2 linked regions of the Sus scrofa genome follow. The protein of the gene in region 1 interacts with the protein of each later gene in a pairwise test. Links are inferred from orthologs where the notes say so. Each region holds a gene or a part of one and is shown on either strand. Other genes may lie near its edges.

The links.
Region 2: the proteins of HDAC6 (region 1) and ERBB3 interact in a protein complementation assay, tested with the Homo sapiens proteins (2 studies listed by BioGRID and IntAct, with this or other methods). The link is inferred for Sus scrofa from reciprocal best matches to the Homo sapiens genes HDAC6 and ERBB3.

What each region holds. Positions count from the first base shown.
Region 1 is NC_010461.5:42,921,113-42,924,915, forward strand, and holds part of HDAC6 (histone deacetylase 6), read left to right. Parts: intron 1-429; coding exon 430-514; intron 515-612; coding exon 613-653; intron 654-1,782; coding exon 1,783-1,879; intron 1,880-2,014; coding exon 2,015-2,112; intron 2,113-3,469; coding exon 3,470-3,574; intron 3,575-3,682; coding exon 3,683-3,751; intron 3,752-3,803.
Region 2 is NC_010447.5:21,472,812-21,477,162, forward strand, and holds the start of ERBB3 (receptor tyrosine-protein kinase erbB-3), read left to right. Parts: upstream 1-1,406; 5' UTR 1,407-1,813; coding exon 1,814-1,895; intron 1,896-4,351. UniProt on the Homo sapiens protein: Tyrosine-protein kinase that plays an essential role as cell surface receptor for neuregulins.

The sequences.
Region 1 (3,803 bases):
GAGTGAGTGGCCGGGGGGCGGGGGAAGCAGGAGGAAATGAGGCTCAGGGAGGTGACGGGGTGGATGGTTAAGGGCCTTCTGGGGCGGGGGAGCACTTTGGCGCTTACCCTGAATGAGATGGGAGCCATGAGAAGGTTTGAGTAGTGGAGGGACGTGATCCGATTTGAGTTTTAACCATTGCAGAGAGAGGGACAAGGACAGGACCCCAGAGGCCGGTGAGGAGGTACCCGGGCGAGAGGTCATGGTAGCAGCGGTGGAGGTGATGAGGAGAGGGGCAGGCTCTGGATCTATTGTGAGAACCGAGCCAGCAGGCGCCAGGGCTGACTCCAGAGTTTCCGGCATCAGCAGCTGTGGACAGGTAGATGGGGAAAGGTGCGCAGGAGCAGACGTGCTCACCAGTGTCATATGTCTGTGTCTCTGTCAACCCAGCTTCCCTGAAGGCCCTGAGCGGCTCCATGCCATCAAGGAGCAGCTGATGCAGGAGGGCCTCCTGGACCGCTGCGTGTCCTTTCAGGTGAGTTCCCCAGCCGACACCCCGTATGGAGGGCAGCAGCTGGCAGGACCCAGGCACAGCCAGAGCCTTATAGTTCTTTATTCCTCATGTCTCCCCAGGCCCGATTCGCCGAAAAGGAGGAGCTTATGTTGGTTCACAGGTGAAGGCTTGGGTGCCTTGTAGGGATGGGGAGGAGGCTGCCCTGGGCCAACCAGGGCAGGCTGGATGCTTTGGCAAGAAATGTCATGGGCTCTGTGGCCTTGGGCAAGTCACTGAGCCTCTCTGAATCTCATTGTTGTCATTGCCTTTATCTTGGGGGCCAGTAAACCTGTGTGAGGTACTTAGAATGGTGCCTGATGTATCATCAGCCCGGATGAACTCTCGTTACTATAATCTGATGTGTAAACAGATGACGGGTATGTGGACAGAGTGATCAGGAGGTTCCTCCAGGGGGCTGCAGGAACCCAGGGTAAGGGGCCTGGTGAGATATGGCTCAAGGGACATTAACTTGGCAGAGAGGGTATCTCAGCTGAGCTTTAAGAAGAGAGAGAGGAGTTCCCTTGGGGCTCAGTGGATTAAGGATCCAGCCTTGTCACTGCAGCTGCTTGGGTGACTGTTGTGGCACGAGTTCAATTCCTGAATCCCTGTGGCCCAGGAACTTCCACATGCTGTGGGTGTGGCCAAAAAAAAAATAACTAAGAGGAGAAAAAGATGGAGTTCCCATCATGGCTCAGCGGTAACGAAACCAACTGGTATCCATGAGGACACAGGCTCAATCCCTGACCTTGCTCCGTGGGTGAGGGATCTCGCATTGCCATGAGCTGTGGTGTAGGTCACTGCCACGGCTTGGATCCCACATTGCTGTGACTGTGGTATAGGCTGGCAGCTGTAACTCCAATTGGACCCCTAGCCTGGGAACTTCCATATGCCACAGGTGCAGCCCTAAAAAGACCAAAAAAAAAAAAAAAAAAAAAGAGTGAGAGTGATACAAAGAAGCCTGAGGGAAGGGAGGTACAGATGGCTAGAACACTCTGGCCAAAGGCCTGGAGGTAGGATTTGGTGTGGCCAGAGCAGAGGGAAAGGGATGTTACTGGAAATGAGGCAGGCTAGGGATGAAGCAAGGACTGTGTTCTATATCCCAGTTATTCCCCCCATTGACAGCTGAAGGAGGCCTGTCTTGTCCAGGGGGTTGGTGCCTGGAGGAATCAGCTGGGAAGGGGACAGGGCCCTGGCTCAGGGACAAGGAGAGAGGCAGGCCTCTGAATCTCCTCTCCCATCCACCTACCCAGCCTAGAGTACATTGATCTGATGGAGACGACCCAGTACATGAATGAGGGGGAGCTCCGCGTCCTAGCAGACACCTATGATTCGGTTTATCTGCATCCGGTATGGCTGAGAGCTGTGAGGGCAGAGGGTGGAGGCAATGCCCATCCCCCATCCCCCCCACCCTGGGGGGAGCAGCTGAGCAGACAGGGCTGCTCACCCCCTCACGCCCTCTCTGGCTCCCCACTGTCTCTGCAGAACTCATACACCTGTGCCTGCCTGGCCTCAGGCTCCGTCCTCAGGCTGGTGGATGCCGTCCTGGGGGCTGAGATCCGGAATGGCATGGCCATCATCAGGTAGGACCTGCTGGCCTTTGGCTTTTTATGTTAAAAAAAAAATCCTTTCTCAAATATAAAAGGTAATGGTAGGGGTAGTATGTTTCCACGGTTCAAGAATCAAATGGTTAGGAGTTCCCGTTGTGGCTCAGTGGTAACGCATCTGACTAGGATCCATGAGGATGTGGGTTCGATCCCTGGCCTCGCTCAGTGGGTTAAGCATCCGGCGTTGCCATGAGCTGTGGTGTAGGTTGCAGACAGGGCTCAGATCCCACCTAGCTGTGGCTGTGGTGTAGGCCGGCAGCTGCAGCTCCAACTGGACCCCTAGCCTGGGAACTTCCATATTCCTTGGGTGCTGCCCTAAAAAGAAGACAAAAAGAATGGAACATTCTAAAAGGTTGAGGGGGAAGGTACAAGTTAAAGTCCTCTCCACGCCCCCCCCCCCACCCCCGTCCCCAATCCCCGGCTTCCTCTCCTGGAGGTAGTCACTGTATAACCAGTGACTCATGTGTCCTCCCAGAAATAGTCTGTGCCTAGTCATGGAGGAAATACCATCTTTTGCTGATTCTGAGATGTTGCTTTTCCACATTTGTAACATCTTAAAATCCAGGTGCACCTTAGAAACGAGGAGGTCTCAGAATTCCTTTGGCAGCATTTTCTGCTTTGTTGTCGGCCTGTAAAATCCCAGTCCATCTTATCGTCACTGGCACCCCAGAAGTGATGACATGCAGAAGATGTAGCCTTTTTTCCTCCCTCCCCCTTTTTTTTTAACCACAAACGGTGGTAGCACCTGACCCACTCCTTTGCGTACTGTGCATTTTTCACTCACACATGTTGGACAGCTTTTCTCTGAACAGCGTAAAACAGCACTACACAGTGGCGCAGTAAGCCAACCAGCCCCTTACCATGGAGCGTTTTGGTTCCACCATTTGCTTTTTCCAAAAAAAAAAAAAATGCTGCAGCAAATATCATCCATTGATAAACATGTTATTTCACCCTTTTTGTTATATAGGTTGTGGACTAAGTCCCCAGGAGCAGAAGGACTTGGTATGAGGGTGTATGCATTGATAATTTTACTGAGCATTATTAAATTTCCTTTGGAGGAGAAGAGCAGACTGGGGGTTGTGGAGCCAAGGGCCCCAGTTACTCAGTGGGTTAAGGATCCAGCATTGCCATGAGCTGTGGTGTAGGTTGCAGACAGGGCTTGGATCCCGCGTTGCTCTGGCCAGAAGCTGCAGCTCCGCTTGGACCCCTAGCCTGGGACCTGTGCAGGCATTGGCACTGGGGACGTTCGTGGTGTAGGATTAGGGAGCCGGAAAGAGTCCCTCTCTGCTGAGGAGGACCCCCTCATATCTATGGCCTTCCCTGTCCTACCCAGGCCTCCTGGACACCACGCCCAGCACAGTCTTATGGACGGGTATTGCATGTTCAACCACGTAGCCTTGGCCGCCCGCTACGCTCAGCAGAAGCATGACGTTCAGAGGTCAGCAGCAAGCAGCTGGGCGGGTATAATGAGGGTGGGCACGTCTGGGCACTCCCCACAGATGCGCCTTGGTCTTTTTACCCAGTGGCCCCCTCTCTCCCTTCACAGGGTCCTTATTGTGGATTGGGATGTGCACCATGGTCAGGGAACACAGTTCACCTTTGACCAAGACCCCAGGTATGTCCCAAGTGCCACACTAGCTGCTAGACTCCCAGCCACCCCCCTATAC
Region 2 (4,351 bases), on another chromosome or scaffold:
CCAGCAGCTACAGCTCCGATTTAACCCCTAACCTGGGAACCTCCATATGCCGTGAGTTCAACCCTAAAAAGCAAAAAGAAAGAAAGAAATTAATTCTAGGCAAAAACAAAAACCTGAGTGCCTTCCCCCTTCTGATCATCTTATCATCTCAGCCATCCTCACCAGGTGGCAAATGAATGACCTTGGAATAGTCCCACATTTCCAGCTCTGTAAAATGGAGAGTGATGTCCCCTAATTCACCTAATTTGTATGTTAAGTGAAACGTTCTCTAAGTTGGAGGAAAGGGCTGCAAACGACGTAGTTTCCGTATATATATGTTAATGTTTCTATTACTATTATGACTGTTATGTAAGTGGTCAGGGCAAGGTGAACGCCCAGAGGGCAAAGGTAGCCTCCGCCAAGGAATGGGCCCTCCAGGGCGCATCTCAATACGGAGCAAGTTTAAAGAATTTTAGCCAGTAATCTTGACTCGGGGTGAGAGGTTGAATTTGTCTTAATCAAGGCTCAACCGTTCTTGAAGTCTTCGGGCTTGAAACTCTAGGAGAAAAAAGTAGGCTTTCTGGGCAAGATCCGAAATGCAACGCGGATTGGGGCCTCACTGCCACCTGCTGGGCACCAGGGGGTGCCGGTTGGATCCATTTGAAGTCTGGCTGGCTTGGGGGCTGCCACTCTGGGTGCGCCGGACCGCCTCTGGACAGGATCCGGGGAGCTGGTGGTAGAAGTGCCCGAGGTTCATGACTTTCGGAGACGCAGTGCCCTTTCCGCGTCCCCCTCCACCTCATTTCCAGCGACACCCGGGCACAGAAGGCCTGGGAAAAGTGTGAGCGCCTGTGGTGGGAACGGTGTGCCCATCTGGGTCCCCCGAAGAGCGGCGAGGACCGCGACCGCTCCGACGGCGCGGTCAGACTCTTGTTCAAGGGGAGGCAGCTGTTCTTCCAGGCAGCCGTGGGGGGCAACAGAGGGGACGGCGACAGGTGCGGGAGCCCCTCCCGGGGTGGAAGTGAAAAGGCGGGCTTCGGGGTCTGTTCCCAGGCTGGAAGCCACCCCCGCCCCCCAACCAAATCCCCGGGAGAGGCCCGGCCGGCGCCGGGTCTGGAGGAGGAAGCGGCCGGAGACAGTGCAATTTCACGCGGCCTCTGGGGCTCGGGTTCCTGGGCAGGGTGGATGAGTTATGGGGTTTCGAGGGGGTTTGGGGGAAACTGAGGTGGCCTGAGTGGGCGGCAAAAACACCCTCCCACTCAAAAACACACATGCAGAGAAACATTTACATTCAGATAGAAAATCCCCCAAGTGACCCAACCGGCTAGGGGAGTTGAGTGATTTGGTTGGTGGGCGAGGCCAACTTGCAGGGGGCTGGGCTTTGGAGCGCTCTCCCCACCCCCATTACCTTTCTCCTCGGGAGGCATTTGGGGGCGGCTGGAATCTTGGCCTCTCCTTAGTCCAGCTCCTGGAGAAAAATTAGGGTGAGACCCATCCGCGATCTGCGTGGCCCCAGTTGCCCGGCACTGGAGCTTGGGGCGCGCTCGGGGCGGGCCGCCGAGGCTCCAGCAATCGCTACTCCAGCCTAGCGCCCGAGGGGGCGCGGCCGTGACTCACCCCCTCCCCCTGCGCTCCCTCCTTCGCTCCCTCGCAGACTACACCCCTCCCCTGCTATCCCGCCCCGGACTCCGGCTCCGGCTCCGGTTGCAATTCGCAACCTCCTCTGCTGCCGCTACCAAGTCGCTGGTGGCTCAGGTGGCTCCGCTTCGATGTCCTAGTCCAGGGGCTCCCCCGGCCGGATTGGGCTGGGCTCCCCTCACCCGCCGCTGGAGTCATGAGGGCGAACCGGGCTCTGCAGGTGCTGGGCTTCCTCCTCAGCCTGGCCCGGGGCTCCGAGGTGGGCAACTCTCAGGCAGGTAAGCGGCGCGGGAGCACCGGCAGGCTCGGAACTCGGGATCCCGAGCGGAGCGCGCGGGGTCCGGGAGGGCAGGGGCAGGAACCCGGGCTGTGCTAGGCTGGGGTGCGGAGCCCCGGTCCGCTGGGACCCCTCCTGGGCGGGGAACGTCAGGATCGGGTTCTCGGCGTGGTCCGGGCGGGGAGAGGATTCCTGCACCACCACCTTCCCCTGGGCACCTCCTCCCTGGCCCGTCGCGGACCCTCTGATTTGTCTCTCGGGATAGGGCTGATGCGCAAACATTCACACTTCTGAGGGACCCTGCAGGAAGGGGAGCTAGGACCCCCATTCTGTAAACGTGAGGGCCTGATTGGAGGTGGAGATCTTGGAGGGAGCCGGGCGGGGAGAGGGGGTCTCGGTTTGCACCCATCCTCCTGCCCCCTCCTGCCCCCTCCTGCCCTCCACCACCTCCAGTTTGGTTGTTTTGCCGACAGGGCGGAGCTGTGGAAGGGGTGTGTGTGTGGGGGGGGGTAGGTTGTTGTTCTCTTGTGTTGGAAAACAAGAGCAGCACCTCCTCTTCCGTGAGTGGGTCTGCCCTGGGGAGAGCTGAGATTAACCCCAGGGCCAAGTCCAGGTGACAGCAGGTTGAGAGGCCACGCAAACACTGCCTGCCTCCTTTCTCTCAAAATAATAAAAGTTGGCTGGTTCCAGACTCGACCAACCTGTTTTTAAGACCCCGATCAATTCAACTGGTATTTATTAAGCATCTACTATGTACAAAGCCCTGGGCCAGGAGATGAAGGGGCAAGGACTTCCAGTGGCTGTTTCTCTCTCAGGGCCCACAGGGCTCCTCTCCCATCTTCTGAGGCGCCTGTCCTCCGAGTTCCTTCTTAGACACAGCTTCCCCCCCACCCCCCATTCTGTTTATTGTCTGGCTGTCTCTAGGAGTCTAGACAAGAGTCAGTTTGCTCCACTATTCCTCCTTCTACTCCCATGCCAGCTGAACTCACCCCTTTGGGGTGTCTCTGGGACCGTGGACACCTGAGGGGTGCTGGGGTTGCTGGCATGGGAGGAATCCTGTTGCTCTCCTCCCCTCCCCCCCAGACCTCAGCTTGGGGTTTGGCACAGCCAGGGCCCCTTCCCCAGGGTGGGAGTGGGAGAAACACCTGTGCTTCCCTCACAGTTGCTGGGCCTAAATTTAGAGCCTGGGATCTTGAGATGTGAACACTCCCAGCTGGTGGAGGGTGGGGGTCTGGGGATTGAAGTGGGAGAGACTGAATGGAGGGACTCTATCACTGTCCCATCCAGACCCCTGGAATCTTCAACCCAACCGGGAACCCAGGAGTCCCAGACCCTGGCCACCTTCCCCGAGGGAGACAGGAGGCAGGCATGGTTGGGTCTCTTTACCCTTTATCTGGATCCTGCAGCCTCTGGGCATCCGGCCCTGTCTCAGTCCTTCTATAGCCCCTTTGTCCTGCCTGTGATGGGGGTGGGGGACTTTGGAGAGGAGGCCTGTGGTTGAAGAGGGGCTGGAGATTCTTGCTCTGACCCACCCCAGTGCTCTCTACCAAAAGAGGGCCTGTGACACTGGCTCTCCCAAGGCCCCTGGTCCCTGAGTACAGCAGAGATGGTCTATTTCCCCTCCCCCTCCCCTCCTCCCCAGGCTGCCCAGTTCCTCCTGAGAGGTGTTGTTCATACTCTCTTCCCGCCCAGCCACCCAGCCCTTTGCTCTCTGTTTGTGTAATACGGACTTTACCCTCAGGGAGGCAGGGAACTGGGACATCTTACTCTGTAGCCTCCCAAGCACAGACACAAAGTCTGCACAGACACATATGGGCAGGTGGGATGGATGGGGCCACCTGAAATACTTCCTGATAAGGAAGCCCAAGGACAGAACCAGTAGAGATTTTGGGGCCAGTAGGGGAGCTGTGTACATGTTTGTCTGTGTGTGTGTGTGTGTGTACACGCACACATCCCGCTTCCCTGTGTGGAAATCTTGGCTCCTCCCTTATCAGGGGAGAAGGGTTGGCGCCTTGACTTGGAAGAGAGGGTGTCCTGCCAGGAAGGGGGTTGGGGTGGGGCTTTTCCAGAAATGACTAACCTTCCTAGTCGTTTTCTTTTTAGCCCAAGGACCCTAGCATTCCCAGGCTCCTCTGGGAGCGCCTGGCCTTTTTACCCCTCTGCTAGGTCTAGCTCATCCCATTCCCTTTAGGAGGTGTGACAGGGAATAGAAGGCCTTCAAAGGTCAAGTGGGCAGACTAGGGGTGCATCTTGGAGGAGGGCTTGGGGCCTCACCAATCTCCCTTCCTCCGTTCCCGCTCCTGCCTCCCACTAGGCTGCCACTGCCTCAGGGAAGGGTGGCTGGAACAGGTGGTATCTACTCCTGCTCCCGCTCCGCTCGCCACAGTCTTTTTCTGAGCCAGGGGAGAGACAGGGGTAGTAGAGCTTCAGGGTCGAAGTTTTCCTGGAGCCCCTGTG